3 linked regions of the Canis lupus familiaris genome follow. The protein of the gene in region 3 interacts with the protein of the main gene of each other region in a biochemical or structural test. Links are inferred from orthologs where the notes say so. Each region holds a gene or a part of one and is shown on either strand. Other genes may lie near its edges.

Region 1 (10,837 bases), on a different chromosome or scaffold from region 3:
GACACGTAACAATCCACATTTTGTGGCATTTGCGTACCCGTGCTGCACCCACGCTCACACGCGATGTGCATCGGCCTGCACTCACATATGTGCTGCTGGTCTCCTAAGAACAGGGAGCCCCCACAGCCGCGGTAGGCCCGGCACAGGCCAGGAGGCCCCTGGGCCGTGTGTGCTGTCACCGTCGGCACTTTTCCTATCACGACTTCCCTGAATAGTCCTGTCCACTGATAATTTTCCAGAATGTCCCTCAATTTGGACTTCTCTGGACATTCTCAAGGTTAAGTTCAGGTTAAACATTTTTGGCACAAATACTACTCGTCTCTCTGTCCCGTTGTTGGAGATGCATAAGCCTGGGCACTTAGCCAAGGAAGGATCCCCCAGGTTTCTCCCTCCCCCAGAGTTGTCTGGGTTTCCCCTTGAGATCACCTGGGTCCCCACAATCCTCACATCCCATGGTTTGGGCGTCAGACCACAACTCCTACCTGAGTCCTGCTGCAAAGTCACATTTTTCTGGTCCTGCCATTCCTCCCATGTGCACCTGTTGGTGTTGTTGCATATATATATAAGCTTAGCCGTCTCACTTCTTTGCTGAATTCTGTTTCTTCGTTTATCTCTACATGCTTTTTATTTAAAAAAAAAAAATTTTTTTCTAGAACCAAGAAGAACTAGACTTTTATTTTTAATTCACATGTTAGAAACCACTAATGCTCGAGTTGTCCCAGATGCAGGCTGCAGGAGCCCTTCACGCTGGCTTCCATGTCCTGTGGCCCGACCCGTCAATTTTGAGCACGTCATCCCCTCACCCCGGCTCCAGCCCCGCTGATCCCCAGCACCAAAACCCTGTGTTCATCTGGTTGGTCGTGCAGCATGGAGCCGTTTGGAGTCACGGCCCCTGCCACCACTTGCCGACAACCTGCTAAGGAAGGTTCTGGAGTTCCAAGCAGCTCTTTGATCCTCAGACCGTATCCCTCTGAGGGTACGCGTTCAGAATATTGTGTTCAAAGTCATTTGGATTCTTTTTCCTCTTTCCGTTATTTATTTGATATGCACCTGGGTCCTTTCTGTGTCTGTTTTTGCTTTTAGGGTTCTCCTTATCTTTGGTTTAATTTTCTTTCTTTCTTTCTTTCTTTTTTTTTTTTTTTTTAAGATTTTATTTTTTTATTCATGAGAGACACAGAGGCAGAGACACAGGCAGGGGGAGAAGGAGGCTCCCTGTGGGGAGCCCGATGTGAGACTCGATCCCAGGACCCCAGGATCATGACCTGAGATGAAGGCAGACACTCAACCACTGAGCCACCCAGGCGTCCCTTAATATTATTTCTTAAATACATAACACATTTAACATGATGTGAAAGTTAAGTCTGCATGAAGATCTGTCTCGGGAGCCCTGTGCCTTCCCCTGCTTCCCCAGCCCCGCAGGTAAACAGTGTCACTGTATTGTTTCTAGTGAGACTTTGAAAAGGCATCCAGTGTGTAAACCATCACCTGGGGAAGGAAGGCCCCTCTAGGGAAGTCTGGGTTTAAGTTTGAGAAGAATCTATTCCCACATTCTCCTGGACTTTCTGTCTTGGTTTTTGTATTGCTTAAAAACAGCGTCATGGTCATGATCCACCCTCCTTTACTTGCGTGGTCTCTGCAGATGACACGCACGCACATCACTTTGTGTATGTTTTCCTCCAGGGTGCTGTGACGTGTCTGGAGAGAGTCCTGGCGACCCAGTTGAGCCAGCTTCATGTCCCAGAGAGTGTGATCCTTCACGCCCCTGCTCGGCAGACCTGGCCCTGGTGCCTAGAAGCGACAGTCTCTGGCTACACGGGGCCGGGGGGAGCAGCTTCTCAAGCAGCCCACCCCTTGAGGCTGACAACATCTGTGACGTGACGATCAGCGACCTGTACGCAGGCATGCTGCACTCCATGAGCCGGCTGCTGAGCACAAAGCCGTCGTGCATCATCTCCACCAAAACCTCGTTCATCGCTCACAGCTGGAACTCCAGGCGGAGGCACAAGTGTAAGAGCAGAATGAACAGGACGCGTTGCCGGGGAGCCGGGCCCTCTCGGAGGGGTCCCCAGGACAGACTCCCTCCCTGTTCTGAGCCAGGGAAGAATAGGGAAGTGTTAAGAGATTGTGAGAACGTACTAGATGCTTCTGGCCAGAAAGCAGATTTAAAAATGGAAAAAGCTTTTCCTAAAGTAAACAAACTCAAGGTCTGCAAATTAGATCCAAGTTGGAGGGAGTTTAAGGGGCTAAGAAGTTTAATGTCCCAGAGGAGTTCTTCGATGACTTACGGAGATGCCAGGGCAGTGCGTCGTCTTGATCGGGAAAATAGATTCATGGCATTAAAATGGTTAATTTCTCCTGTAAAAATCCTTTCCAGACCAGGAGTACTGCCAGGCAAGGGAGGGAATCATTACAGGCAAATTGAAATCAAATTTGATAAGCTTCATCAGGAATATTGCCCCAGCCCCGGGAAGCAGCCCTGCCTGACTGCCCCCCCAGGACCCTCGGCTGTGGCCATGTACAGGGGTGACCCAGCGAGCCCTCGCGGCCCCCAGGCCTTAGAAATCCGCAGTCTCAGCGGGCTTTTCTGCAGAGCCGAAGCCAAGAGGTCAAATGAGGCTTTTGAGGACCTGGGTGAAGGAGCTATTGGAGCAGGGAGACGCCTGCAGAGGAGGAGCTCCCCTCCCTCGCTTCCAGAGACCAGCTCCACGCAGAGTCTCAGCCGCTCTGAGCAGACGCTGGACCTTCTTTCTCAAGGAAACAATCTTGGAATACTTGGAAAGTCACTATCCCCCAGCAGAACTAGCTCAGTAGCAGGGGTACTGCCTCTAAGCTGCGGAAGGGATCGTTACAGTGAAATTAAAGAAAAATTTGACAAGCTTCATCGAGAGTATTGCCAGAAATCGCCGAAGCGGACCCAGGCGCCTTTATGTATCGGAGCACCTCCAGAGAGATCAAGTGTGGAAGCCCCGTATCCAAAAGGAGGCATCTTAGAAAAATTAAAACCAGACTTTGGCTTCCAGGGTCCCCCAAAGCTGTCAGCATCACCCCAGCGGAGCAGAGAAAGCACGCCGGGCTCAACCACACTCGAGTGCTTCATGCTCACGGCCAGGAGGGCCCACCAGTCCCCTCCAAAGAGACGCCAGTTATCAGACTCCCTGCTGTATGGACAGTGGGCCAGTTCCCCGGATTCGTCGCGTGTGGTGGGCCAGGCCACCCTGAGGCCGGGCGAGAGCCCAGCCCTCGCCAGCCCCCCTGGGAAAAGAAGGTGCGTTTCTGTTGGTTGAATGTGGGTGTTTTGCAATAGGATTCTTCTGCATTCAGTTTCCAAGCTTTCTCCCAAATTCTTTTCCTTCCTCTGAAACGAGCATTTATACCAAGAGCATGTTCATGTATAAGACGCATCGAGGTGGAGCCGAGAATGTTCCGACTGGGAACATCTTACACTTTTCCCGCCGGAGTGCGTTCAGGGGTCTTCTCTGAAAAGCCTCACTGGTGTCCTCGTCAGGCTGTCCTCCCAGCCTCTCCTGGTCTCAGGCAGCAGCTGCCACAAAGCTGATCTGGAAATAGTGACTTTCCTTCTATTTCTGGATTCCTTCCTGGGGACAGCGGGAGCGGCCTGCTCGGCCCCGCGCTCCTGCCCTGCCCACGATCTCCGTGCTCCACGGGGAGGTCTGTCTGCTGTCCTACCTCGCCCTCCGCTTGGGTTTGTGTGGACCCCTCAGTGACACACGTGTGCCACTCTCTTTTCTCCAGAGAAGCTTGGCGGAGGGGGGAGCATTGCACATCACGGCGGGTTGTTCACCTGTTTCACATGAGCGCCAGGCTTTCCAGCGTGCACTTCAGTGTATCCCCAGGCCAGGATTCAGACACGTGACTCCTCGAGTGTACGTTTGGGGGTTTGTGCGTTGGTGGTGTGGGCAGGCGAGGCCACGTAGACCACTTCCTGCTCCCTCCTCGGCGGTCGTTCAGATGGACCCCGTGTGCCCTGGACGCCCCGTGTTCTCTTTGTGCCATGATCCCATCTCAGGGGCAGGTGTGTTTCTCTCAGAGATAAGCCCCAAGTTGTCACTGTCACCACCCCTCAGACCCCACAGGTCCTTCTCTGCCTTTGCTTATACTTCTCAGCATTCAGACCCACACGGCTCCCCTCGGAGAATATTTGCAAAAACCTTGCAGTGCCTTGGCCACAGCAGAGGCTGGGTGCAGGAGCCAGCTGCCTCCTCCGAGTGAGCACAACGTGTAAGTGGCCACCCCGGCTCCTGCGGCTACGTCAAGGTCAGGGTCAGAATCGTGGTCTGGTCTTTCTTCCTTCTTCCACTTCTTGGGCTGCTCCTGTTTTCTCCACCTACCATCTGGCTTGTGCTCCCCGAAGCCGCTCCCGCCACCAGCACGTCCCGTGGCCTTAGCCAGGTGGGTGGTAGCCTTTGTCAGATTAACCAGACCTGCGTTGTGATTGATCTTTCTGGTCAAGGATTGAGGTCCGGGGCCTTGGTGAGGCCAGACATGGAGCTGGAGCAGAAAGGGAGGGGACTGCCCACGCCCCAGGAGGCCCTCCCCCGATAGCATGAGATCCTTTCCCTTTCTTCTGGGCCTTGTGCTCTTTGCCTGCACCCACCTCACACCAGGCCCTCAGCAGGGTAAGTGGGAGCCACAGGGAGTCCTGTGGGGCCGAGGCTTTCAGGGACCATGGCAGGGACTCCAAGGAGACTTGAGGGTGGGTACCAGTGACCCTACAGAATGACCTTCCTTCTCAGTTGAGAAGGGTTGTCACGAAGGCAGCGCCTCTAGTGAGAGCCATTCCCGGGGTCCCCCAGCCCCTGACCCGTCAGATGTCAGGGCTCCCTTGTCCACTGGCCCCGCTCGTCTAAGCCTGCACCTGCTCCTGCAGTGTCCGTCCTGCTCCTCAGGCTCAACTCTGGCTTTTCCCACCTCGTCCCCAGATTTGCTGGCAGGTCACACCGCCTGCTGGCTCAGCCCCTGGAGCTCAGCGGGTCGCTCCCCAGCCCTCTTCTGGCTCACCAGCACCCGACCCACCTTCCCACCTCAGGAGATCCCCCTTCTGGATGCCTGGCTCTCTCGTTCACCTGCCCAGCGAGGGTGCCTGGAGCAGGGACGGCCCACCAAGGTCACAGCCGTGAGCAGTGCCTTCTGCCTGGCATTGGAGCACCTGGAGGAGGACTCAGCCCTTTGTGGGGCCCTTGGTGCGCCCCTGGAATTTGATAAGTCATGGTGGCCGCCCCCTGGACGCCTTTTGCAGTTTCGTCTTAGAACTGTGATACAAACATCCTTAACCATTTTCCACATTTTTCCTTGTTTTCCTACTTAAATTACAAATGTCTTGAGGAAAGGGACCAAAGCTTCATGAGCTGTGACTACAGAAGGGATTTTAATGGCTAACGTCTGGGTGCCTTTCTGGGTGCCAGGCTGTAGAGAACGTTCTTAATCCACGCATGAACCCGTTGATGAGATGGGTTTCATCCAACAGGCGGGTTCTGTCTCTTATTTTACAAATAAGGGAATGTAGCTGAAGCCTTCTAAGTCCTGGGTTCACCCGGGTGTCGGGGGCCAGGCCAGGATTCGAAGGCCGTGGGTGTAACCGCCCGCTTGCCCGGCTGCCCGGGAGGGGTTTACCATCAGGTGGGCTTTCACATCCCTGCCCCTTTACTGTCTGTAGTGGACGCACAAACATATGCGATACAAAACAGTTATGCTTTTGATGGCTTGGGAATTCTAATGGAATTTTACTGAAACTATTTTCATTCTTTTTTTTCTAAAGGAAAGAACACCTCTTTCAAGATGGAAGAGAAAAGTGACTTTGTATTAGAGAAATTGAAAGCTGAAGACGTATAGCCGAGTTATTTTAGAGAGTTGTCTATCTTCCCCCTTCCTGTGTGTGTGTGTGTGTGTGTGTGTGTGTGTGTTTAATCCTCAAGAATATGTGAGAACTGGCTTCACTTAACTGCCCTTCAAAGCAAATGTCAGTGAAACTGATCCCATTGAAATGACTCTTTGAGTTCTTGGTATAGAAGTTATTTGAATAAAGTTACTCGATTAAAATTTTTCACGTGACCTTTATAGGCCTGTGTTCCTCCTGTGTTCTTTTTAAAATATAGACACGTCCTCGGGATGCTCTTCATTCCTGTTTGGTTAGACAACCTCCTTTGCTCTGAAACTCCTGTAAGCCACAGAGACGATGGTTTAAGGTTTAAATTCAGAGCCAAAGGCTTGGTCTCTTCCACATTAGCAGGTAGCAAATTGAAACAGTAACCCTGAAAAGTAATTCCTAACATCATAACGTTAGCTGAAAGTGTGCTCAGACACTCCTGGGATGGTCCCCAACCTCACAGCCACGTGGCGTCCCTGACATCTCAGATTTTCATTGGCGCTGCTTATAATCAGGTACCACGGTGACTTTTTAAATAAAATATTTCACATTAGGAGCACAGTGTCAGCCCATGCATTGCCATGTGTGGCAGACTTTTAAATAAAAGGTCAAAATGAGATTAAATTCTGCACGCCTTTCCTCCCTGCCCCCTTCTGATTCTGATGGTTCCCTTTCCACCGACGCCTTCATGCCAGGACATCACCTCTGCATGAATCAGCTCAAGCTGCCTTAACAGAATAAATCCACAGACCGGGTGCCCAAGCAGCAGAAATGTATTTTGCACAGTTCTGGAGGCCAGAAGTGGGTGCCCGGACAGTTGGCTCTGCTGAGGGCCCTCCTCGTGCAGGCCCCGCCCTCAGGACCTCACCTGAACTTGATCACCCCCCCAAAGGCCCTACTTTAGGTACCATCACATCAGGGTTAGGGCCTCCATGTGTGAATTTTGGGGGTTTGCATTCAGTCCTGAGAGCCGTGAATCAGAAGACCTGCGCTGAGAACCTGCCAGGAGTCTTACCCTTGCAGGCAGCTTATCCTTCCTTGGCACAGACCCCTGGGATGCTAGACCTTTCCTTCGTGCCTGCACCTTGCTAAAAGGAGCATGACCCATCCTTTGCTCTTGGTCAGAAAAAATACCCTTACCCACAACTGTGCCTTGTCACACCACCACCACCATCCCTGAGCACGCATGCACATGCACATAGGACACTACAGTTGATGCGTGGGATGGTCTGTGTATTCTCTGCAGCTTGGTTTCACCAAGAGGTGTTTGCCCTTGACAGGAGCTGATGGATGTGGGTGTCTCGTATTTCAAGAGTCTAGGCAGCTGGTTTCCTCCACGCTCCTGCTGGGTGTCTGCTGCTACGGACGCACGCAGCCGTGATCCTTGAGCACGGGCATGGGCTCCCCTGCAGCAGACCTCTAGCGGTGAGTTGGTCGTGGATACCGGTGTCGTGGATATGTGTGTCTTCAGCTTCCCCTAATGATCGCCAACTCGCCCTCCCAAATAGCTCTTCCAGTTTGTCCAGCAACAGAAGAGATCCCATGACCCCCCTGCTGCCACCAGTCGGTGCCAGGCCGGTGGAGGTGGGGAGTGTGTGCGAAACACCTTGCACGTTACATTTCTGAGGTACTGCCTTTTCAAGGGTCCTCTCAGGACTCTCTCCTTTTTTTAAAATATTTTATTTATTTATTCATAAGAGACAGAGAGAGAGAGAGAGGCAGAGAGCAGGCTCCATACAGGAAACCCGATGTGCAACTCGATCCCGGGTCTCCAGGATCAGGCCCTGGAAAGAAGCACCCCAGCATCATCCCCGGCCAGTGGCCATTCCTCCCCACGCCCGCACCACTAGGGCACTAACACCCTGGCTGGGCCCTCCTTACTTGGGTCACAGTCCCCGGCATCAGACGCCTCTTTTCCCTTCAAGAATGGGGTCCTGAGGGGCAGAGACTGCGGCAGCCTGCCTCTCCTCGCTGGTTGGCACAGGGCTGGGTGGCACTGAACAAAGGTGGATTCTGACCCCCTGGGCTGAAGGGGCAGTCTGACACCCGCACGCTCCCGGGAAGCGGGAATAAAACCGCTCTCTTGGGACTAAACCCCTCTGTCTGGGCTCTGGGATGTTGTCACCTGACAGTCAGGAATCTGCACTCGCAATGACAATGGGGGTTTATTTCAAGGGGGAGGAAAGAAAGGGACACTGATTATTTTAGAATGATGCTTTTCTTAACTAAATTAAAAATATTTTTGCATTGCCGTGCTCCAGCTGCAGCCTGGCCCTCCAAGGACGCAGTTTACACTTTACACTCGAACCACCTAGCAAAATCCTCCGGATGAAGCCAAAAGCAGGTGCTGACTACACGTATCCAAGATTTTGAGAGTCTCCAGGGCTGCCCTCCGGACCCCGGGATCCGAGTCCAGCTGCAGCTCCTGGAGAGCTGAGAGTGAGCAGACACGGGACACAATCAGGACCCAGCTCGGCCGTCCCCTCCGCCCCGGGGGCCGCTGAGCCAGTGGAAGGCCCCCTGCTCCCCCCAAGCCACCATCGTCACAGCGCGGGGCTCCCGCGGGCTGAGGAAGGGGAACCCCTGTGTTTGCAGCCAGGAGACAGCAGGTGGAGCTGTGTCTGCACACACGTCCCCCCATCTGGGCCTTCTGCTAGCCTCTAGGGGGGACACAAAGATCACCCACAGAACCCGAGCTCCATGCGGATCAGTTGAAGGAATCAGGGAGGATGCATTTCGCAAATATTCGTGATGGGGAGCCGGGCAGAAGGCCTGGGGTACGGAAGGACTCCACGCCCAAATAGTTGTCTTCCTGGGAAGCCCCCGTGCAGGCCCTGATTACACAAGGAAGGGTCGGCTGGCTCTTCCCCCAGGGGTCTCTCGAAGTTTCCCCAGATGAGGTTAGCCGTCTCTACTACTCACAGTCCCGCAAAGCCGGAAAGTCCAGTTTTTTCAGATGATGTGCAGACATCTGCTTCATAATAACGCCTGGAACGAGAGCGAGGGGAAATGCCCAGCTCACAAATATTAGGGCAGCGAGAGATTCCCTTTCACCTTTTGAGACAATCTGTGTAGGGCTCCGCTGAAGATGCTGAAGTGAGAATCAGCCAGATGCGGTGGAATCGGACACCGAGAAGGGGGGCTGGCCCCTACTCTGCTGCCTGCCCCCCTCCTGCTCCAGGCCCCGGGTTCGGGCCCTCCCGCGGCCGGAGACCTCTGCTCGCTCGCCCACCTGCCAGGTCGCACGCAGCGCTTCTGATCCTTGGCAAGTTGCTACTAACATAGGTCATTGTTCCTAGCAAGAAGCTGTAGAGCACAGCGGGTTTTTTCTGAGTCTGCAAAAGACAAAGGATGAACGGAGCCATGGGGATGAGGCCCTAGCGATCGGCTGCTCACGGAGCGCGTTCCCATCTGTCTGACGCGGGAGGGGCTAGTGCCCATCCCAGCATCACACAGCAAATAGCTGGACAACTGAGGGACCTTCGGACCCTGGTGCATCGTCTGACCCAGAGAAGAGATGACATTGTCTACAAACTGCGTGGCCGTCCAATACTGTGGCCCTCTGGCCGCGTGTGGCCCTCGAGCACTTGAAATGTGACTAGTCTGAATTAAGTATAAAGAGCCTCCTGCATTTTGAGGACAGAAACTCAAAAAAGGAAAATATCACATTAAAAATGTGCACATTAAAAAAAATAAATAAATAAATAAAAATAAAAATGTGCACATTGATTACATGTTGATATGACAACGGTTTGGGTCCACTGGGTTAAGTAAACTCTCTTATTCAATCTGGTGTCACGTCTTTCACTTTTCCTAACGTGGCTACCAGAAAACGTACGGGCACGAGGCTTGCATCCTGTGTCTGTTGGACGGGGCTGCTCTGGAGGCTTCAGGTCCGACAGGTGAGCACCGGGTCACAGGACGGAAGCCTGTGGCGGCCGCGACCATAAGCCCCAACCCCAGGGCTCCCACCTCCAGCAGGCCCAGGGCCCTCGGCTTCCTCACCAGGATGGAGCAGAGCGTTGTCTGGAGGACGGTCATCTCGTCGGCCGTGCTGCTGTCACTGCGGCCTGAGCTGCTCTCCGGCGCCTTCCAGCCCCAGAAGTGTGCACACTGAAACACGGTAGCCACGCAGGCCTGGGGGGCCACGCGGCACAGAATGGAGGGAGGGCGTCAGGCAGACCCAGGGGCTCGAGGGGCTCTCGGGGCCCGGGGGTGGGGGTGGCAGGGCTGACATTCCACCCGTGGGCCAGAGGGCAGCCCCGGGAAAGCCTCATGGAAGGGTACCCGGGACCGGAGCCCTCCGTGTGCATTTATGGAAAACCCATTGGAGGCAGATGCAGCCCACTTGCACCCTCAGCCAGCACCTCCGTGCCCTGGGCAGCCCTGCCTGGGACCTGCCATCTGGGACGTCGGGGACATCAGGGTCAGGAGCCTGGCCGGGACTGGTAGGACCAGGCGGAGCTTTCTCATCCCTAGACCCTCGCTGAGCACCGAGCCACCAGGGCCCCTGGCCTCTGGCCTCCAGCGGGTGTAGGCCACAGGAGGGGACGACAGGAGGCTGCGGGGTGGGAGAGGCTGGGCTATCCATTCCCAGGGACAGGAGTGGCAGCAGTGTGGCTGGGACCAGCCCCGGGGTTCACCTCCCCTTGGTGGCCCTGCCCTGGCCCCTCCTGGCTGCTCCTTCCATCACCTTCCAGAAGTACGCCCCACAGGGCAGTCGCCATACAGCGTGAAAGAACAGTGTGAGCCACTGATGGATTTGTGAGGAAAGCATCTCTGAGAGGTGACAGTTCCCAGCCGGGTTCTCCAGTGTCTCCAAGGGAGAGCAGGTGTCGGAGCGTACCGCAGGATGCCCCTCACTGACCTAGGGGAGCCCCCAGCACCCCCACGCCAGGTGGACACCTGCAGTCCTCACAACGGCAGGATTCTTGGGACCCCAGGGCCGGAGAC
Region 2 (10,017 bases), on a different chromosome or scaffold from region 3:
TTTAAAAAAATTGTCACGATCACAGGGGTAAAGTGGGCAAGAAAAATTTCCAAAGGCTGAATGAATACTGAGGAAAGTGGTTATGTTAGCTGATAATCAAAGGAAAAATAAATAAATCATATGTATATATTCTAAGTTACAGAATCTTTTACAAAATAAATTATCTACTAACAAAAAGCAGTGGAGATACTGATGTAGTCATACATCAGTGGATGTAAAATGAATCATACCTTTTGGAAAGCATGGCCATTTTCAAGAACCATTAGATCAATTCTATTCATTGGAATTTATCCTAAGAAATTCAAAAGAAGCCAAACTCCTGACACAGATAGTCACACAGATTTCTCTTCACAGCAGAAAACTGGAAGCAATGTATATGTCCAAGAAGGATGTTCTTCATAAACAGATACAATAGAAAGTGCAAATTTGAAACTATTTCTAGAATATAAATATAAATGTTAAGAGTATTAAGATTAATGCAAAATGGATATAGACAATGATAGAGGTGTAAAAGTTCAAGGAGTTGTTTTAGTGAGCTTAACTTCAAGAATAATATTTTTATTCATTTTTTAAATATTGTTATACGTCTCCAATATTAAAAGGCTATACAATGCTTTAAGAATTTAGTAATCATTATCTGGGCTCTTTTTGCCTATACAGATTATAAAGAATTTTATATAAAAAGTATTTTAAGGGGATCCCTGGGTGGCTCAGTGGTTTAGCGCTTGCTTTCAGCCCCAGGGTGCGATTCTGGAGTCCTGGGATCGGGTCCCACATCCCTGCATGGAGCCTGCTTCTCCCTCTGCCTGTGTCTCTGCCTGCCTCTCTCTCTCTCTCTCTCTCTCTCTCTCTCTCTCTCTCTCTCTGTGTCTCTCATGAATAAATAAATAAAATCTTAAATAAATAAATAAATAAATAAATAAATAAATAAATAGTATTTTAAGGGAGCCATCTGAGGCTTTTACTGTGTTCCAACTACATAACAGCCATGGTCATTTAGGGGTTATATCCTTTATATAATTCTACCATCATTTTAGGTTTTATATATTTTTTGGCTTAAATGCAATAGTAGCAACATTTTAAAGACAAAAATAATAAAACAAATAGTGAAGTAAGTTCATTTTCTGTAGCATAAATCCACTTTCTCTAAGGCTTTAATGTAAAGATAGGCAAAATCTTAATGAAGGATTGAATTATTTATTGGAAATGCGTATACACAAAAGTTTAATACTGCTTTGGTTCCTATTAAGTGCCAAGCATAGTAATCAGTGAATTAGTTCTGTTTTGTTCTGTTTACCCAGAAGTAAGGAAACCATAACCCATGGGTCAGACCGGGCAGACCACATTTGTTATAAGAAAATTTTATTAGAACAGAGACATATTTATTGTTTACATAGCTATGTCTGCTTTCACGGCAGAGTTGAATATTTGGGACAGATACTGTATGGACCATAAAGCCTAAAATATACTATCTGACCCTTGACAGAAAACATTTGCTGATCCCTGGTCTTTCCACAACTTTTAGAAATAGGTGTCATTGTCTCCACTTAACACAATAGAACCAAAGTTTTTTTTAGAGGCTGAGGCTCTGTTAACTACTAATGTGTTTAGAGATCTCAGCTGGAAAATTATAAGGAGGAAAACAACTTATCAGCCCACCTAAGAATATTTAGTGACAATGAGAAATTCCATGTTAGGGTTGCCTGCTGGCTGGTAACAATTATTTGTTTTCTAGTTGCCAAGTCTCCAAGACAGTGCAGAAGAAGATGATATTCTGCTGAGTATGGACAAAAATCCAACAACTCCATCATCAGTTGTCTTTCCATTGGCAAAAACTCCTCAGTGTCACCATGTCAGTCCTGGCATGCTAGCTTCTATAAATAGGTAAATATGCATATATAGACTGTAATTCTCTGCATCAACATTTAACATTTCATGAGTCAGAGAGTAGATGTCGATAATGAGAAGAATCATCATTAAACAAAAAAATCAAGAATAGTTCCTAGAAGTTCAGGATGGACAGTTTCAATAAGTAGAGAATATTGTTCATTAGTGTAGGGACCCAACTTACACTTTACATCAGGATAAATTCTAAATGGATCAAATTTTTTCACATAACAAATTAGACTATAAAATATACCTAAAGAAACCTTGGAGGATTATTTTATAATCATTGATAAGTGAAAGTCTTTTCACACTATGATGCTAGACTCAGAATACACTAACAAAAAGAATCATAAAGTCAACCAGATAAAAAGTTTTACCCAACTACCATAAGCAATAAAAAGATAAACAGTGATCTGACAAAAGAATATATGGAACTCATCAAAGGAAAAGGCTAATTTTCCTAACGCAGCACTCCTATGGATTAAGAGGAAAGGAAAGGGATTCTCATGCATCACTAGTGAGAAGGTAAATTAGTACGGTCTCTGTGGGCAGCAATTTGTGAGTATCTATCAAAATTATAAATACACATATTTGACCTATCAGTCCTGCTTCTCACATAGTGAATATACAGCTTATTAGAGTATTGCTTATAATAGCAAAAGTCTGGAAACAGCTCCTGCCTATCAGTAAGGGACTAATCAAACTGGTACATTATGTAGCCATAGAAATTAATGAAGAAAGTCTTAATGTACTATTATGGTAAAACGTTCAAGATCTAGTAAGTGAAAAAAATGCAGTGAATAATGTGTTAACATTTCTGTAAATGTGGTAAATTGTGTAAAATTTGTATAAACGGGCTGTGTGTATACTTGTGTATATTTGCATATATACATGTATATATACCTAATTGCTTTCCTTTGATTAAATATCTGAAAGAATATATAACTGAAAACACTACTGATCCCTACAAAGAGAACCTAGATCACTTGGAGATGAGAGAAGGAAACTTTTTGAATTTTGAACTATGTGAATATAGATACTTGAAATATAAATAAAACTAAGAAAAATCAGGGACAACCAGCAGTTGAATGACAGAGAAAAGAAGGAAAGAAATAAAAATGAGGCCTGAAAATAAGTCATTCCATTTGGCAATCAAGCAGGACTTTTATTAAGAGTAATTCTGTGGGTTGTGAGGCAGAAGCCAAGTAATAATGACTGAGAAAAAAGTATTCAGTCCTCTCCTGAGGGTCGGTGAAATTTTAATTTGCATTTATTTGGTAAAAACATAATTTTCATAATTTTTCCCCAGAAATCTACAGATTATTTTTGATTTAGTATTCATTGCAGATGAAAGTATACTAAGAATATAATTTTGGGCAAAGCTTTTGATAAGTACTTTGGCCAAATCATCAAAAGCTTTAAGATATTCATCCCTTTGGCCCTTGAATTTTCTTAGTCACTTATAGGGAAATACATTTGGGCAAGTATGTATGTACATTTGTACGGACAAAGATGTTTGTCATGAAACATAATACTGAAGATATGGAAATGACCTAAATGTCCAATAAAGAAAGTTAAGAAATGAGGATTTGTCCACATTATAGGATAGGATATAACAATTAAAAATCATACCTTCAAGAATTTTTAACAACCAAGAATAATGTTCAGTTGACAATAGATTTTAAAAGCTAAGAGTTAAATTATAAACAATATCCCAGTTTACATAATATGTATTCAGAAAGGAAATTTCTTGACTATAAACATCATAGCCATTATCTCTAGATTGTAGAATTATAGTGAAGTGAGTTTTGGTGGTGGTGGTTTTTTTAATATCACTTTTGCAATGATGGAAATATACTTTCCCCTCCTCCCCAATAGAACACATGGTAGATTCATTTATATCATGACTATATTTCCTAAAACATTTATTTCATATAGGGCAACGGACTCATGAGGTGCAGATCCTTGAACAGCTGGCTAGGCTTATTCACTAGCTATGTAGCAGTGCTTGTGGTTCACATTAATATCTTAATACAGTCACACATTTAGAAATATGTTATACCTTTAAGGTTGCTCCCAAATTTTCATAAAGGAACGGATAATTGATCATAAAGGATCTTGAAGCTAAGAGAGAATTACAATTGGTGTTCAGCTGGTATTTACTGTCATAAGGACTAGGAATTGTAGGGGGAAATGAGAATAGCCATTCTTGAGACACCTGGGTGGCTCAGCGGTTGAGCATCTGCCTCAGGACGTGATCTTGGCCCCCAGGCTCCGTGTAGAGAGCCTCCTTCTCCCTCTGCCTATGTCTCTACCTCTCTCTATGTCTCTTATGAATAAATAAAATCTTTAAAAAAAAAAAAAGAATAGCCATTCTCTGTGGCTTCCATTTGTGTCTGTAAAATGAGCCAAACCTATTTGCTAAGAATGAGAGGGGGAGAAAATAAGCTAAAAAGAAATGACTCAGGAGTTAGTTGGAAGCTATAAATTGAGGGTTTTCATCACCAGGTATATCCTTAAAGTGGTTAACTATTTGATGTAGACAGGAAAGCAAGTAAACAGAAAGGAGTAAGAGGTCTAATAAAAGGGAGTCCAGGTAGAAGTCACAGTGAATTTTGGAAAAGAGAGGCAGCAAGATAGTGATCAGAAAGAGCACTGAACAATGAGCAAAACCATAATTTCCTATTCTTATTTAATGTTCCTTTAAAATGTTAAGTTGAAATGTTTTGTCCATTTCCATCAGTACACCATTGTTTTTTAAAAAATGGAAAAGACGTGGGCAGCCCAGGTGGCTCAGTGGTTTAGTGCCACCTTCAGCCCAGGGCCTGATCCTGGAGACCCGGGGTCGAGTCCCATGTCTTGCTCCCTGCATGGAGCCTGCTTCTCCCTCTGCCTGTGTCTCTACCTCTCTCTCTTTCTCTCTCTCTCATAAATAAATAAAAACTTTTTTTACAAAGTAGAAAAGACAAATAGACTTTTGTTTTTGAGTCTGTTTCCTGGTTTGCCGGTTTGCCTTTTTTTTTTTTTGGCTCATGTTCATGTTTTGTTTCTTAAATTCCAGATAGGACTAAAACCATATGGTATATGTCTTTTTCTGACTTAGTTTTCTTAACATTCTACTTTCTTGTTACATCCATGTTATTGCAAACAGCAAGATTCGATCTTTTATATGGTAGAGTAATATTCCAGTATGTGTGTGTGTATGTATAGTAGATTTATGTTTATATATTTTATAAAATATATTAAATACCTAATATATTTACATATATATATATATATGTGCACTTGTATTAAATAATGCTGCTCTAAACATTGGGGTGCACATATCCCTTTGAATTTGTATTTTTGTGTTCTTTGGGTAATACCTACTGGTATAATTGCTGGATCATAGGGTAGTTCTATTTTTAACTTTCTGTGGAACCTCCAAACTGTTTTCCACAGAGGCTGTACCAGTTTGCATTCCTGCCAACTGTGCAAGAGGATTCCCCTTTCTCCACATCCCCACCAACACCCATTGTTTGTACTGTTGACTTTAACCATTCTGACAGGTGGAAGGTGATATCTCATTGTAGTTTTGATATATTTCCCTGATGATCAGTGATGTTGAGCATCTTTTCAAGTGTCTATTGGCTATCTGGATGTCTTTGGAGAAATGTCTATTCATGTCTTCTGCCTTTTTTTAATTGGATTTTTTTTGGGGGGGTGTTGTGTAAGTTATTTTTATATTTTGAATGCTAACCCTTTATCAGCTATGTCATTTGCAAATATCTTTTCCCATTCCATAGGCTGCCTTTTACTTGTGTGGATTGGTTTCCTTCCCTGTGCAGAAGCTGTTTATTTTGATGTAGCCCCAAAAGTTTAGTTTTGCTTTTGCTTCCCAGAAAAGAAAATTTATATATATATATACTTCCCAGAAAATACACTTTTTCCCAGAAAATATACTTCTTAAAGGTTGAGACACATTTAAAATTATTTTTGTCAGTTGCTATTCAAGCTGTGGATAGAAATATGGTAGTTAACTGTTGACTTAAAATTTTGTATTCAAACAGGAATGATTGTGATAAATATGTTTTTCGTATGCAAAAAAACCATAAAAGTAAAGGTGGCATTGTCTGGGGCAATATCAAGAAAAAAACAGTAAGTATATTTATTCTTCATTTATTCATCATGTCTATTGAACAACTGTAATACATGGCAGATTGTGGCAGTTACAAGTTATGTAAAAGTTCTTGCCCTCAAAGTAGTTAATCTTAGAGAATGACAATTTATCGAGGACCACCTTATCACCTGATTGTATATTCCTTCTCACCAGACTATGGCAATGTCTTCTTCCCTTATCCATGTTGAAATATTTATATTGCATACTTTCTAGAGTATAATTCTTCTCAGAGAATTTCTAAAACATTGGGATTACATAATCACATCCAATTTTTATGGTTTCATTTGTCCACAGGAAATGGTAGATACTTCTGGACACAGGTTTAAAAATCAACCTGGAGACTAAACTCTTTAAAGGATATCTCAAAAAAAAATAAAAAAAATAAAAAAAATAAAGGATATCTCCAAAATTGAAGGTGTAGACAAACTATTTCTTAGATTCCCTTTTCCCAGTCCCACATTCTTTATGAGAATGAAATTTTGGTTTGTTGCAAAGGACCTGGAATCAACATAGCAAGAAGGATTTGGTTGGCTTCTGGTCCCTATTTTGCCTGTGAAAGTTGGTTGCTTTGACGATTGTTTCACAAACTTGAATGTGCAAAGGCATCACCTAGTGATCTTGTTAAACACCAGATTCTGATCCAGGGATTTGAGATTTCTGCTTTTTTTTTTTTTTAAGATTTTATTTATTCATGAGAGACACAAGAAAGAGGCAGAGACAGGCAGAGGGAGAAGCAGGCTCCATGCAGGGAACCCGACGTGGGACTTGATCCTGGGTCTTTCAGGATCACGCCCTGGGCTGAAGGTGGTGGTTAAACCGCTGAGCCACCCGGGCTGCCCGATTTCTGCATTTCTAACGGGCTTCAGGTGCTAATGCCTATGTTGCTGTCCATGGACCATACTGAGTTAGTAGCAAGATCCTAATCCACTCAGTCTGTTCTCTGCACAGTGATGAAAAATTCACGTGGACAGATCTAATAAGGACACTTCCTATTAAGAATATTTGTTTCGGGATCCCTGGGTGGCGCAGCGGTTTGGCGCCTGCCTTTGGCCCAGGGCACGATCCTGGAGACCCGGGATCGAATCCCATGTTGGGCTCCCGGTGCATGGAGCCTGCTTCTCCCTCTGCCTGTGTCTCTGCCTCTCTCTCTCTCTCTGTGTGTGTGACTATCATAAATAAATAAAAATTAAAAAAAAAAAAAATTTGTTTCTTTGTATTTCTGGCATCATCCTAAACACTACTGGACTTCTGTTTTTCTTAATGGGTCATAATTTTAGCAGTCTCCTGAACTACATAATATCCTTGTGATTTAGTCCTTTTTCATAGACTAATATTTTGTCGTGTGTGAGGATAGAAAGAACAAAGGATTTAGTGTTAAAAGTTCTGATTTCAAGCCCTAACTCCTCATACCAGCTTTATAAGACAACAAGCTACTTGGGCTTTCTAGTTTCATTTTATTTATGTATGGTATCAATGTAGGAATCATGATACTGGTTTAATGTTGCTGAATGATTTTGAGAGCTAAATGATAGAATAATGTTTTTAACTCATTTCACAAGAAAAAGTACAGTTATGTCACAATCTGAACAAGAGTTTGTATCTCAAGAGTTTGAACTCTATTTTTACCCTTAGTACACCACTATACTATATACCCTGTCATATTTCCTTTCTATTCCTTTTCATTTTTTAAAGATAGCCAGGCATGGCCAAAAGTTTAAAAAGCATTGATATAATAAATATGTATTTTACACTTAAACTTTGTGATATAAATTACTATTTTAGACAATTGAAATTTTGCTAGTGTAATGGAATAACATGAGTACTTAGATTTTGGCAACTGTCAGAGGCCCATAGACTATCCTTTCACCCCTGTAGCATTAATTTGTAATATTTTTTTTCCTTTTTCTTTTTTCTTTTTTTGTAATATTTTCTTATAGTCATGTTTGCCAGTGGTGGGAAACAACATTGAAGAAGTGTTCTTACCCTAGATAGATTAAACTGTGGAAAAAGAATTAGACATTTCACAGATAATCATAATGTGATTAGGTATCATTATAGGCATGTGTTCAAGGTACTCAGGATGAAGCATACTTATTTTGTCTGTGTTTGAGGCAGAACTCACAGGAGGTACTATTTAGCTATTAACATGAACTCTCTTGCAGGTTGAAACTGATTTTTCAACTCCAACATCAAGAAAAAAAACCCTGTTTAACAAAGGTAATTTATTTTTCTTTTGTAACTCAGTCTATTATAAGTTAGTCTCTGTATTAACATGGTACTAAAATTAACTGCTCTGAAGTGGGCAGATCTATTCAATTTCTCAGTTCTTTTCAATTTCATTGAAATTACTTTTAGAAGTATATTAATCTTTTATTAAACTTCTTTTTACAGAATTAAGAGAAAACTCTGGTATTGGAAAACTTTTCGCTAATGCTATGGAGTCTTTAGATGAAGAAGAGAAAGATTATTATTTTTCAGACTCTGATTCTTCTTAGTAAAAATGAGAAAATATTTTCAGGATTTTTATCAAGAAGCAGATAATATATTTGTATCTTCTTTTGGAATACATATATTTTCTTCATAATATACCATCATACGAAATTGTGGATTCCTCCTTAGAGGTTTTAGGAGATGAATAGTTAACAGAGGGATGTTTTACTCTGAATTCATCTAAAACATCTTTCTGTAACTATTCCTCATTGCTGCAGGTTACTAAAATGTAAGGAAATTGTTTTGCTTGTATAGATACTTATGAATTTCTGGGTTTTGCATTATTAAAATATTCTACATAAGTATCTCTTAACCGTCCAAGTTTGTTTACGTTAAGAAAATCATGTTCCATTTTTTTTAAAAGCTTCCCAGAAAATGCTATCCTCAAGGGATAGGGGAGGGAGAATGAGAAGTAGATAGTACTGCCAGCTACTAAATTCATGAAAACTTCCAAGTCAGCATTTGTTACCACTTGGTATACAAGCCAGAATTGATCTAATGTTTAAATTACATGTTGTTAAAACTATGTAACACTCTATCTTGTGATTTTTTTCTTAAAACTTGTGATTAGCATATCTCTGAAACCTATGTAAATTTGTTGTTTTTCAATATTTTATTAGGTAGAAATCAGAGAACAAATTTTGTTGCACTATGCCTTATTTACATATGCAGTTTACATTTGGTCTCAATGTTAAAACGACTGGATTAGACTTTTCAACATTCAAGTAGTTGATCTACCACCAGAAGTTAACGTGCCATGTCATAGTAACATTATTTTCCTTTCAGACAGCTCCTTTAGAAATAAACCTTTTTTTAGCCTATTCTACCACTCTGTTTTGAAATTTGACATAGAATAGTTTTCCTTTGGTTACAGTGTATATACACACTTACTCTTTCTCTCCAGTTAGATTGTTTAAATAAACTTGGTTTACTTTTGTAACTTTATATTTTGGTTGTTGTTTGATTACTGGATCATAGAAAGTAAACAAATATGCATTCTGTTACTGGTTCAGCTCCTTGCCTCAAAAATTACCAGAACTTTCACTAAAAACTACATGCTCATGTTTCTTAAGAGTTTAGTAATAATCAGCAGTTCTAGAACTATAGAATTTACAGCAACACAAGATTTAAAAATAATATTGCAGCTAGACTTAGATCATAATGGTTTCTGCCACAAAGAATTTAGATGGAGGATGGAACAAATAAAGGGATTATTTTAGAGTCAAATACTGTTTTAGAACTTAAGTTGCCAATACTTGGGTTTATACTATTCTGCTTAATGTTAATGGATTTTTTTTTTAAGGAGTTAGTTAGAAGGTAGTTAAATTCCATAATGGGAAACAAAAAGATAATTTTGATATAGCACAGACTTAACACAAACCAAAAAATGTGGCCTCCCACCACCACTGCCACATTCCCTGTGTCCTGCTGGAACTTCTTCAGTGTCCTTCCTGGTCTATTTTGTTGTATCCCACCTGCCA
Region 3 (10,918 bases):
AAAAAAAAAAAAAACACCCATCGCTTACAGAGTCACAGTGTGATTCACCTGTTTTTATTTATTGTCCTATAAGTACAGTTGTTGCTGTTTGTACTTGCTGTTCTGCATTTTTTCACTGCACCATTGGTACATAATGTTAAAAAGAATTTCATTGAATGTTTATAAGTATTACAAAAGGCAGCTTTTTAATCTATGCATCCTTGGGATTTCAGAAATTTTATTCTTTGATGTAAAAGGGGACTGCTGTACAAGTTGGAAACTCTGCACCTGTGTGTGTGTGTATATATATACATACATATATATATATATATTTTTTTTTTTTTTGGCAATAAAGCAGCATGGGCTGAGAATGCACTGAAACTTCACTGTGTTACTCATTACTTGGATTGGGTAATTTCTAATCATGCAGTAAGTTACTGAGATGGGAAGAGCCAAGGCAGAGACCTGGACTGAGGTAGGCTCCAGATAGCAGAAAAGACCAAAGATTTGGGTGTTGATACCAAGTTGTAGCAGTTTCTGCTATAGTCCAAGGAAACTGGCAGCCATCTGAACAAAGAGGCATTCCATTTAAACTTAGGTATTCCCACCTTTAGAGCCAACCTTATGCTAGGTAATTAGCAAAATGTTTAGTTTCTGGTAAGGAAATAGCTAAGTACAGTAATAGTACTAATAAAACCACTGCAGGGAATCCTTCCTATCTGAAATATATAAAGCATTTTAAATGCTTTTACATTGAATATTTAAATATTAGCTAAATTAATTAAAGAGGCTTATTAACACGGAGATCCTTGGGTGGTAGCGTGTGTGGCTGAGTCAGTTAAGCATCTGACACTTGATTTCAGCTCAGGTCTTGATCTCAGGGTTGTGAGTAAGCTCCACTCTGGGGGTGGAACCTACTTAAAAAAGAAAAAAAGTTCCTTTTTGATTCAGGGGAAAGTTATGTCAAGTTTAAAGTAAGAAAGTAGACCTTAAAAAAAAAAAAAAAAAGCAGATCTTATAAACTTCCTTGGGATTGGCTATCCTCAAATGGAGAAGAACCTAAGCTATGTCATTTTTGTGGTATAATCACTAAGAGTTTTCCCTGTGATTTATGACCATTCATTTAGCACACACTGATATACTCCAATCCCAGGTACTGTGCTAGATGTTAGGGTTACAAAAATGGAGATAGTCTTTACTGTTAACTCAGGAGCTTAAAAGTTTACAACTCAGGAGGAATTTCAATATGCAGTTTTATTCTTAGGACTACAGAATTTTGAAAATACTGTATTCAACATATACAATGCTAAATGGTATCACATTGGAGCAAAGTAGACAGTATCTTAATATAAATCATTGATGTTTGTTAGACTTTCATAGGAACTTTTTTTGTTTTTAAGATTTTATTTATTCGTGGGAGACAGAGAGGCAGGCTCCATGCAGGGGGCCCGATGTGGGACTCAACCCCAGCACACCAGGATCACACCCTGGGTATGAAAGCAAGCACTCCACCGTTGAGCCACCCAGGCGTCCCTCATAGGAACTCTTATACCACCCAAAGACTCCTTTAAAAGGGGAATTAAAAAGCCAACCATTTATAATATCAGTGTAACATTTATGGGAGACATAAAATCAAGACTGTAAATGCACATACATGCCTTTGACTTTCCCACTTTAGGACTCACTCTTACAGAAATACCAGTACAGATTTGCAAAGATAGGTACAAGGGTCCAATACAAGAATGGTTAGGTTTGGATACATTCACATCACTGAATCATACAGGTCTTAAATAAAATAGTTTGCATATGGGCTGGTGTGGAAAGTTGTGATATTTATTGTGTGAAAAGCAGAATACTGTGAAAGATAAAGCTTTGTTTTATGTCTAATACATGAACATCCACATGCATAGAAGATATTTTTTGAGCACCTAGTATGTGCTAAGCACTGCTGTAATTACATTAGATGTATTTCTTAATTTATTGAATCTTCACTACAGCCCTAGCTATTTTTTAAAGATTTAAGTAATCCCTACAGTCATTGTGGGGGCTGGAGATCAAGAGTCACATGGTCTTCTGAGCCAACCAGGCACCCCTGGCTTTTTTTTTTTTTTTTTTTTTTCTTTTAAACAGAATAAGCCTGAATTTCTCAAAAAAGCTTCATTTTTTAAAAAAGATTTATTCATGAGAGACACAGAGGCAGAGACAAAGGCAGAGGGAGAAGCAGGCTCCATGGAGGGAGCCTGACATGGGACTCAATCCCAAGTCTCCAGAATCTGGCCCTGGGCTGAAGGCAGCGCTAAACCGCTGAGCCACAGCTTGGGCTGCCCCAAGCTTCAGTTTTTAATTTAGCTTTCTGACGCTGTGCTTGTGCTTTCAACACTTTCACAATGATTTTCTGCTCCTCAATAAGGAAAGCATACTTGATCCCATCATGAACACATACATGGAACCGCCACCCTAGGCCCTGCCGACACATTTTCTCATTGTAGAGAACCTAATAAGAATTGCAGGTCTCACAGCATGTACTTAAAGTCGGCCTAGGCACATGCTACATGTGAATTTGGGGGCTTTCCCAATCTTCCTGGTATAAAGGTAAACGATTCTATCACCAGGGTGATTCTATCACCAGCCTAGTTTTGTTGGAGGCTGTATTGTAGGACAGCCTTTGATAGTATGTCAAATGCTGGGACCATTCTGAATGCCTGTGGATGCCGTCCTCCCCAAAAGGAAAAAACCAACCCTAGTTTTTTGTTTTGTTTTTTAAGATTTTATTTATTTGACAGAGCCAGAAAGCAAAGCAAGAAGCCTGATGCAATGTAGGGCTCGATCCCAGGACCCTGAAGTCATGACCTGAAGGGAGATGCTTAACCAACTGAGCCACCCAGGCACCCCAAAACCAGCCCTAGTTTTAATCCCTATTTTACAAGAAGTGTTGAAGTAAATTCTTCGTGTTCATGGCTAGTAAGATCCAAAACACATGTGAATAGAAATAATTTGGCTCTAGAGCTTCCCAGCATGCTATCCTATGCCTCTCAAAGATGGAAAGGGAAGTGTACTTTGCACCCTTTATTTTCTATTTATATCTGCAATTTTTTTTTCTAGAGTAAGCATTACTGTAATTTGTATTTAGGGGGAAAATATCTAAAGCCAGCCAGCTTAATTTGATGTTAAGTTTAAACATTTACTTTTTTTTTTTTTTTTTAAGATTTGAGAGAGAGCATGCCAGAGAAAGCATGAGCAGCGGGGAGAGGGAAAAGCAGGTTCCCAGCTGAGCAGGGAGCCGGAGATGGGGCTCAATCCCAGGACCCTGAGATCATGACCTGAGCCAAAGGCACATGTCAAGCATGTAATTTTCTATTGAACTCTCTGCCAAATCAGCAAGTCCAGAGATTACGAAAAATAGCTACATAAGAACATACCCACACACAAAAAAATCCCAGGATGATTTAATATAGTATTGATTTATTAGGTCCATTCTTTAGAAAATACGAGTTTTTCTAGTACTTGTTTCTTTTTAAGATTTTATTTATTTATTTATTCATGATAGACACAGAAACAGAGACATAGGCAGAGGGAGAAGCAGGCTCCCTATAGGGATCCCGATGCAGGACTCAATCCCAGGACCCTGAGATCACCTGAGTCGAAGGGAGACACTTAACCACTGAGCCACTCAGGTTCCCTCTGGTACTATTTGTTGCCAAAGATTTCACCCTTATTTATGGAATCAAATTTTGCAACTCAAAAGCATAGAGCAAATCAGAATTTTCTTGTTTAAAATATTTCTAAAGGGAAATGGCTTTATGCAATATAAAGTAGAAAGAATGGAAAGAACTTTAAAAATGGCTGCCAGCTACATCTGAACCAAGTCAACTTTTCTAGACACCACCACTTGGCTGTTTCTTATCTGGATTGGGCTCTTGCCAGCCCCTCAGTAGTCTGCTTGCTTTTCTGCCCCTATAAACCCCTTCTCCACAAGACAACCATAGCAAGGTTCTACAAAAGTGAAACCAAGGCTTCCATTGTTCTTGGGATAAAAACAAACATCCAGGGGGCATCTGAATGGCTCAGCAGAGGAGCATCTGCCTTCAGCTCAGGGTGTGATCTGGGGGGTCCCAGATGGAGTCCTGCATCCAGCTCCACATAGGGAGCCTGCTTCTCCCTCTGCCTGTCTCTGTGTCTCTCATGAATAAATCAATAAAATCTTAAACAACAACATCATCCAATAAGTCCTTGTACCCTCTGGTTTCTGGCCACTAGTTCACCTCCTGCAGGCCTTCTTTTAAGGGCCTCTCCACAGGTCCCCCTCCATTCCCTAATTAACTCCTAGTCTTTCAGACCACTGCTGAAATCCCACTTCCTCAGAGCAGCCTTTCCAACCCCAGGGGTCCGGTAGCTGCTTCATGTGCTGGTAGCTCTAGGTCTCTTTTCTTCAAAACCTTTACTATAGTAATAATTTCACATGTATTCATGTGGTTGTTTGAACGTCCACCTCTAATGAGATTAAAAGCTCTGTGCAGGTAGAGAGTGGCTCTTTTTGCTTACCTTTTATCCCCAAAGTTAGTAGACTTTTATTAAATGAATAATATGACAAGGTACTGAGTGTAAGTGGTATATAAAGCAAAATATGAAAAACAGCATTTTGGTGAATGTTTTATCATTTCTCTCATTATTACCTGGGTAGGCTCAGTTTAGAAATGAAAAGAGAAAGATAAATTGTATATTTTCCAGTTAACTTACTGAATATTACCTACAGAGTATGTTTGTACGTATATTGCATGTAAGAAAAAAAATGTTTTCTATCTTCATCATCACAACTGCTCCATGTAGGAATAAAGTAGTCAACATGAAATACAACTCTGTTTTCATAACAGCCGTATATCTTTATGTCAGACCATTTGCAGGACACTGCCTCTTAACCTACATTTGCAGTAAAATATGTATTCAGAAACAAACATTTATGAAATTGATAAGCTAAAATAAGTTCTTTTATTTATGATAGTCACACAGAGAGAGAGAGAGGCAGAGACATAGGCAGAGGGAGAAGCAGGCTCCATGCACCGGGAGCCCGACGTGGGATTCGATCCCGGGTCTCCAGGATCGCGCCCAGGGCCAAAGGCAGGCGCTAAACCACTGCGCCACCCTAAAATAAGTTCTTAAGGCAAATAGCTATGAAACCTGGGTAGGGGTTTCCTTTGTTTCTCATTTTCTAGACAAAGCTTCACAAATCATTTGGAAAATCAGCCTCAAGGTGAGAATAGAGTTCACATCTCTTCTTAGCCAATCTTTCTTCCTTGAGAACTCCTGTTGATGAAGACAGCAATAAGACCTGAACCTAGTTAAGCTTTATTTTTTTAAAATTTATTTATTTATGACAGTCACACACACACACACACACATACACAGAGAGAGAGAGAGAGAGAAAGAGAGAGAGAGAGAGAGAGGCAGAGACACAGGCAGAGGGAGAAGCAGGCTCCATGCACTGGGAGCCCGATGTGGGATTCGATCCCGGGTCTCCAGGATCGCGCCCTGGGCCAAAGGCAGGTGCCAAACCACTGCACCAACCAGGGATCCCCCTAGTTAAGCTTTAATCCTGGATCAGTTTTCTGGCTTGGGCTGGTCAGGAGTTCTTTCCTTCAGAATCTTCATCAGTGAATATAAACGAGTATGTGTTAACATTATCTTCTCTTTGAGCTGGGAAGAAAAATAAATCGGTATCAGGGCATCTTGAGCTTAATACTTATTTTGATGATTTTAGAAGCCACTTCAAATTTAAACCAGTGGTTGATAGCTGGTAATGTCTCAACACATTACATAAATATGCTTGTCCTATTTCTTTCTTTCTTTTTTAGATTTTATTTATTTATTAGAGAGAGAGAGAGAGAGGCAGAAACACAGGCAGAGGGAGAAGCAGGCTCCATGCAGGGAGCCCGACCTGGGACTCAATCCCTGGTCTCCAGGATCACGCCTGGGCTGAAGGGGGCACTAAACCGCTAAGCCACCAGGACTGCCCTATTTCTGAAAGAACTTTATGCAACAAACCTCAAGTGCCCAGTAAGATCCTCAGATACAAAGTTTCATGTGAAAAAAGACCAGCCACTGCTGAGCATCACTGCTTCTCCTCCTCCCTCCTTCCTACCCCTTATCGCCAGGTTTAAGTGCCAAATATTGGGAAGGAAGGAAGACAAGAAGAAGGTGGGGTAAGAAAGCTTGTGGAGAAGAACCTCAACTACTCTTCCTCTCCTTTTCTAGGGGCAAGAATCTAACTTTTTTTTTTCTTTGTTCACAGTAACAAATGCCTGTCTTCAAAAGTAGCCCTGGTTGTTGGGTTAGGAACTTGTGTTTGTGGTAATTAGGTTATTTTTGACAAGTTCTTTCACCTAAGAATAGCTATATCAGGAACCAAACTTAATGGTATTATTCAGCTTAGTAAATAAAGTTATCATGGAATACAGAATTATGGATAACAACCTTCTGTTGGGGATCCCTGGGTGGAGCAGCGGTTTGGCGCCTGCCTTTGGCCCAGGGCGCGATCCTGGAGACCCGGGATCGAATCCCACATCAGGCTCCCGGTGCATGAAGCCTGCTTCTCCCTCTGCCTGTGTCTCTGCCTCTCTCTTTCTCTCTCTGTGACTATCATAAATAAATAAATAAATAAATAAATAAATAAATAAATAAATAAATAAATAAAAACAACCTTCTGTTGAAGACAGGTTAACAACACCATCAACAATAAACCATAATTTGAACATAATTTGCACCATTCATAAAATCTGCTTTATATTATCATTTAAGACACAAGAATAATCCATATTCATTAGGAAATGCTGCTTAGGGACGCCTGAGTGGCTCAGCAGTTGAGCTTCTGCCTTTGGTTCAGGGCATGATCCTCGAGTTCTGGGATTGAGTCCCACACCAGGCTCCCAGCATTGAGCCTGCATCTCTCTCTGCCTAAGTCTCTGCCTCTCTGTCTCTCATGAATAAATAAATAAAATCTTAAAAAAAAAAATGCTGCTTAAATTAAAAAAGTAACTCTAGAGCCTCCCCTCCCCCCCCTTTTTAAGATTTTATTTATTTATTCATCAGAGACACAGACAGAGAGAGAGAGGCAGAGACAGTCAGAGGGAGAAGCCAGCTCCAAGCAGGGAGCCCAATGTGGAACTCGATACTGGGACCCCGGGACCACACCCTGAACCAAAGGCAGACGCTCAACTGCTGAGCCACCCTGGCATCCCTAGAGCCTCCCAGTCTAATTGCAGTACCATTGGATGTGGTGAATCATTTCTCTGTTGCCTTCAAGATTGTTTACTCTCCTCATTTTTACTATGATGTATTGGGGTATTATCTCTTCTGTGTTTATCCTATAAGTCCTTTGTGGACTTATTGAGGTTTTGGATATGTAAATTCAGGTTTTTCATCAAATTTGGGGTTTTTTCTACTATTATTTCTTTGAATATCTTTTCTACTTCTCTGTACTCCTTTTGGTATTTATTCTCTTTACCAAAAAATGTTTAGGTATGCCTGATGGTGTCCAAGAGGTCTCTTCAATTCACTTTCCTGCATTTTTTTTTCCCTTCAGTCTCATCAATTTGTCTTCAATTTGCTGATTCTTTCTTTGGGCAGCTCAAATCTGTTCTTGGGCCCCTCTAGTGAGTTTGTAATTTTAGTTATTGTACCTTTTTTTGTTGTTGTTATTGTGCTTTTCAACTCCAGGATTTCCAACCTTTTTCTTTTTTCTTTTTTTTTTTTTTTATAATTTCTAACTCTTTGTGGATATCCTGTATTTGATGAGATATTGTCATCATACCTTCCTTGACTTCTTTAAGCAGTTTCCTTTCGTTTTTTGGACATTTATAGTGGCTGCTTCAAAGGCTTTGTCTGCTAAGTCTAACATCTGGGCCCTTTCCTAGGCAGCTTTAGATGCCTGCTTTTTATCCTATTTATAAGTTATACTTTCTTCTTTGAGTGTTTTCTCGTTTTTTTTTTTGTTGTTGTTGTTGCAAACTGGACATCTTTTTTTTTTTTAGGTTTTTTTTTTTTTTTTTTTAGATTTTTTTCAGTAATCTCCACACCCAACATGGGGCTCGAGCTCACAAGCCAGAGATCAACAGTCACACACTCCACCAACTGAGCCAGCCAAGGTGCCCCACAAACTGGACATTTTAAGTAATATAGCCAACTGTGGATACTAAACACCCACTCTTCATCTTCTTATTGTCCTTTATTTATCTGTTTTCGTGAGCTGGCTAGACTATTTCACTGCTATCTACTTCCCCCACTGTAGGAGACCATGCTGCCAGTCCACAGAAAACAAAGCCTTGGGCAGGTGCGGTCACCTAGAGGACAGTGGGTTCAGCAAGCTGTCTTTCAATGTTGCCTTGGTCAATGTCAGGCTGTCAGCCTCTGCTGGCATCATACCCGAGCCTTCCCTAGTTCCTGGGCTGATTGCTCTCCAGGTTTTGACAATGCCCTGGGACATAAATTGTTCATCAGTCTAATCCAATTAAATTCAGGCCCCACCTTTGTAGGTTAGTCTTTTAAAAGACTGGTAGCCAGTCTTTTTGTTGTTGTTCTGATCCCAGGGGGGCTCTTCTTAGCTGTGTATTCTCTGATTCTGTCTGGTAAACTTCTAACTAATCTATGGTTTAGCTTGTTGCTCTCATGGAACTACCAGCTTCCTCTTAATTGCTTACCTCAAAATGTCCATTTTGGGCTGTACTCTTAGACTTGAATGTCCCCAAGCTTTGTTTCAAATAAAGTCAGTTCCCTTGAGTGGTAGGGGAGGGGGACACTTTGGAGTTCTGTTTTTACAATCTGCCTCTTAGCCCAGCTCCTCCCAACCTAGGGGCCAGTGTCTCTTGGAATGACACCCTTACTTTACAAGCAGAGTGCTGGGTATAGATGCCACTTGTCATCTTCTTGGCTTACCTCGGCCAGTGTGAGACCTCTGCTCTACATGCAAGCTGGGGCAAGAGTGAATGGGTTCCTAATACTTAGCTTGCTGTGCCTTTGATAGAACCTGTACCTACAAATGGCCTTTTTTTTTTTTTTTTTTTTTTTTTTTTTTATGATAGTCACAGAGAGAGAGAGAGAGGCAGAGACATAGGCAGAGGGAGAAGCAGGTTCCATGCACCAGGAGCCCGATGTGGGATTCGATCCCGGGTCTCCAGGATCGCACCCTGCAAATGGCCATTTTTGACTGGAATAGAGCTTTTGATGAGAATTACTGATGCCTGCCACTCCTGGAAGATATCACAGCCCTCAACTGAGAGCTATGGCAAAAGGGATCCCTGTGTTCTTGGCTACAGCAGCCCAGATAGAGCCTCCTGCCCTCTCTCTAAGGTAGAGAGGTATGAGAGGCAGTGAGCAGGCTGTGGCACAAATACCACAGGCTTTCACTGTTCTTACTGAGGTTAAATGTGTTCTTTTTTTTTTTTAAAGATTTTATTTATTTATTCATGAGAGACACACACACACACAGAGAGAGAGAGAGAGGCAGAGACACAGAGGGAGAAGCAGGCTCAATGTGGGATCGATGTGGGACTCGATCCCAGACCCCAGAATCACGCCCTGGGCTGAAGGCGGCGCTAAACTGCTGAGCTACCTGGGCTGCCCTAAATATATTTTCTAAAGTAAGTATCTCTTCATTTGCTTTATTCCTTGAAGAACATTTCCTACAGACTTAAAATGGTTGGGTTTTTTTGTAATTTTATTCAGTTATGGCAGTTTTGCTGGGGGTGGGGGAAGGAGGTCCATGGAGCTCCTCTGGCTGCCATTCCAGAAGTTATCTCCCACAGGAGTGAAAAGTTACTGACCCCCCTCATCAACTTTGTTGCTTAGAGCAAAGGTTAGCTAACTGTGACTGCCCATTTATATCAAGTTTTGCTGCAACACAGCCACACCCACTTGTTTATAATACTGTCTGTGGCTGCTTCTGCACTGCAATGGTACAGTTGAGCACTTGAGAATGGTCACAAAGCTTAAAATATTTGTCATCTGGTCATTTATAGAAAAAGTTGCCAACACCTTGCTTAGAGCATGGTTTCATAAGCTTAGTTAGCTATGCAAAACAACACCCTCAAAAATCACTCTTTCCTTGTCCTAAAAGATTCTTAAACTTTAAAAAAAAACAAAAACAAAAAACACCACTGGTTACAAAATGTATAATTAGCAAGGAGTAATATATTAACAATACTAAAAACAAAATGAACGATAAATTCTCAGGTTGGTCTTCTGAGCTTAAGTTATAGCCAAATTTCCACTCAGAATGCATCAGTAAGCTACCGAAACAAAGTTGCTTTTTTCAACTTCAAAACCATCAACAGCTAGAAAACTCATTTAAATAAGAATTCCTAATGATTGTTTCACCACTCTTTCCTGAGACATCTAAACAAGAAGTGCTGTGGAAAGGACAGATCTGGGGCACCAAGTTGGCTCCTTTGGAGGAGCCTGTGACTCCTGATTTGGGGTTATAAATTCAAGCCCCATGTTGGGTGCCAACTATTTAAAAATAAAATCTTTAGGGGCACCTGGGTGGCTCAGTGGTTGAGCATCTGCCTTTGGCTCAGGTCGTGATCCCAGGATCCTGGGATCAAGTACCATTTCTAGCTCCCCGCAAGGAGTCTGCTCCCTTCTGCCTATGTCTCTCTGCCTCTCTCTCTCCGTGTCTCTCATGAATAAATATATAAAATCTTTTTTTTTAATTTAAAAGTAAAAATAAAATCTTTAAAAAAGAGAGAGAGAAAAAGGACAGATCTATGAAAGGTGCAATATCCATTCCCAGCAGAGGAGAGTAGTATAGGAAATACAGGATCTAAGCAGCTTTCTTCCTCCTCCTGAACTGGACCTTACAATATTTGGTTTTGTGTCACAAATTCAATAAGAAATGCCAAACCAGGTATAAAGGATTATTGGAGTATTATACCATGTCATCACCACCAAA

The links.
Region 1: the proteins of OIP5 (region 3) and HJURP form a complex in vitro, tested with the Homo sapiens proteins (2 studies listed by BioGRID). The link is inferred for Canis lupus familiaris from reciprocal best matches to the Homo sapiens genes OIP5 and HJURP.
Region 2: the proteins of OIP5 (region 3) and MIS18BP1 form a complex in vitro, tested with the Homo sapiens proteins (2 studies listed by BioGRID). The link is inferred for Canis lupus familiaris from reciprocal best matches to the Homo sapiens genes OIP5 and MIS18BP1.

The regions. Positions count from the first base shown.
Region 1 is NC_049246.1:45,486,883-45,497,719, reverse strand, and holds the end of HJURP (Holliday junction recognition protein), read left to right. Parts: intron 1-1,680; coding exon 1,681-3,265; intron 3,266-3,753; coding exon 3,754-3,874; 3' UTR 3,875-3,884; intron 3,885-4,125; exon of another isoform or gene 4,126-4,239; intron 4,240-4,471; exon of another isoform or gene 4,472-5,201; intron 5,202-5,776; coding exon of another isoform or gene 5,777-5,813; 3' UTR 5,814-6,075; downstream 6,076-10,837. Other genes in the region: MROH2A (maestro heat-like repeat-containing protein family member 2A), read right to left, coding at 8,345-8,718, 8,807-8,872, 9,117-9,219, 9,890-10,021, 10,578-10,751. UniProt on the Homo sapiens protein: Centromeric protein that plays a central role in the incorporation and maintenance of histone H3-like variant CENPA at centromeres.
Region 2 is NC_049229.1:22,849,301-22,859,317, reverse strand, and holds the end of MIS18BP1 (mis18-binding protein 1), read left to right. Parts: intron 1-1,735; coding exon 1,736-1,884; intron 1,885-5,936; coding exon 5,937-6,024; intron 6,025-8,208; coding exon 8,209-8,263; intron 8,264-8,437; coding exon 8,438-8,541; 3' UTR 8,542-9,481; downstream 9,482-10,017. UniProt on the Homo sapiens protein: Required for recruitment of CENPA to centromeres and normal chromosome segregation during mitosis.
Region 3 is NC_049251.1:8,669,817-8,680,734, forward strand, and holds the end of OIP5 (protein Mis18-beta), read right to left. Parts: intron 5,671-10,918; coding exon of another isoform or gene 5,575-5,670; exon of another isoform or gene 5,287-5,574; intron 5,281-5,286; coding exon 5,179-5,280; 3' UTR 3,098-5,178; downstream 1-3,097. UniProt on the Homo sapiens protein: Required for recruitment of CENPA to centromeres and normal chromosome segregation during mitosis.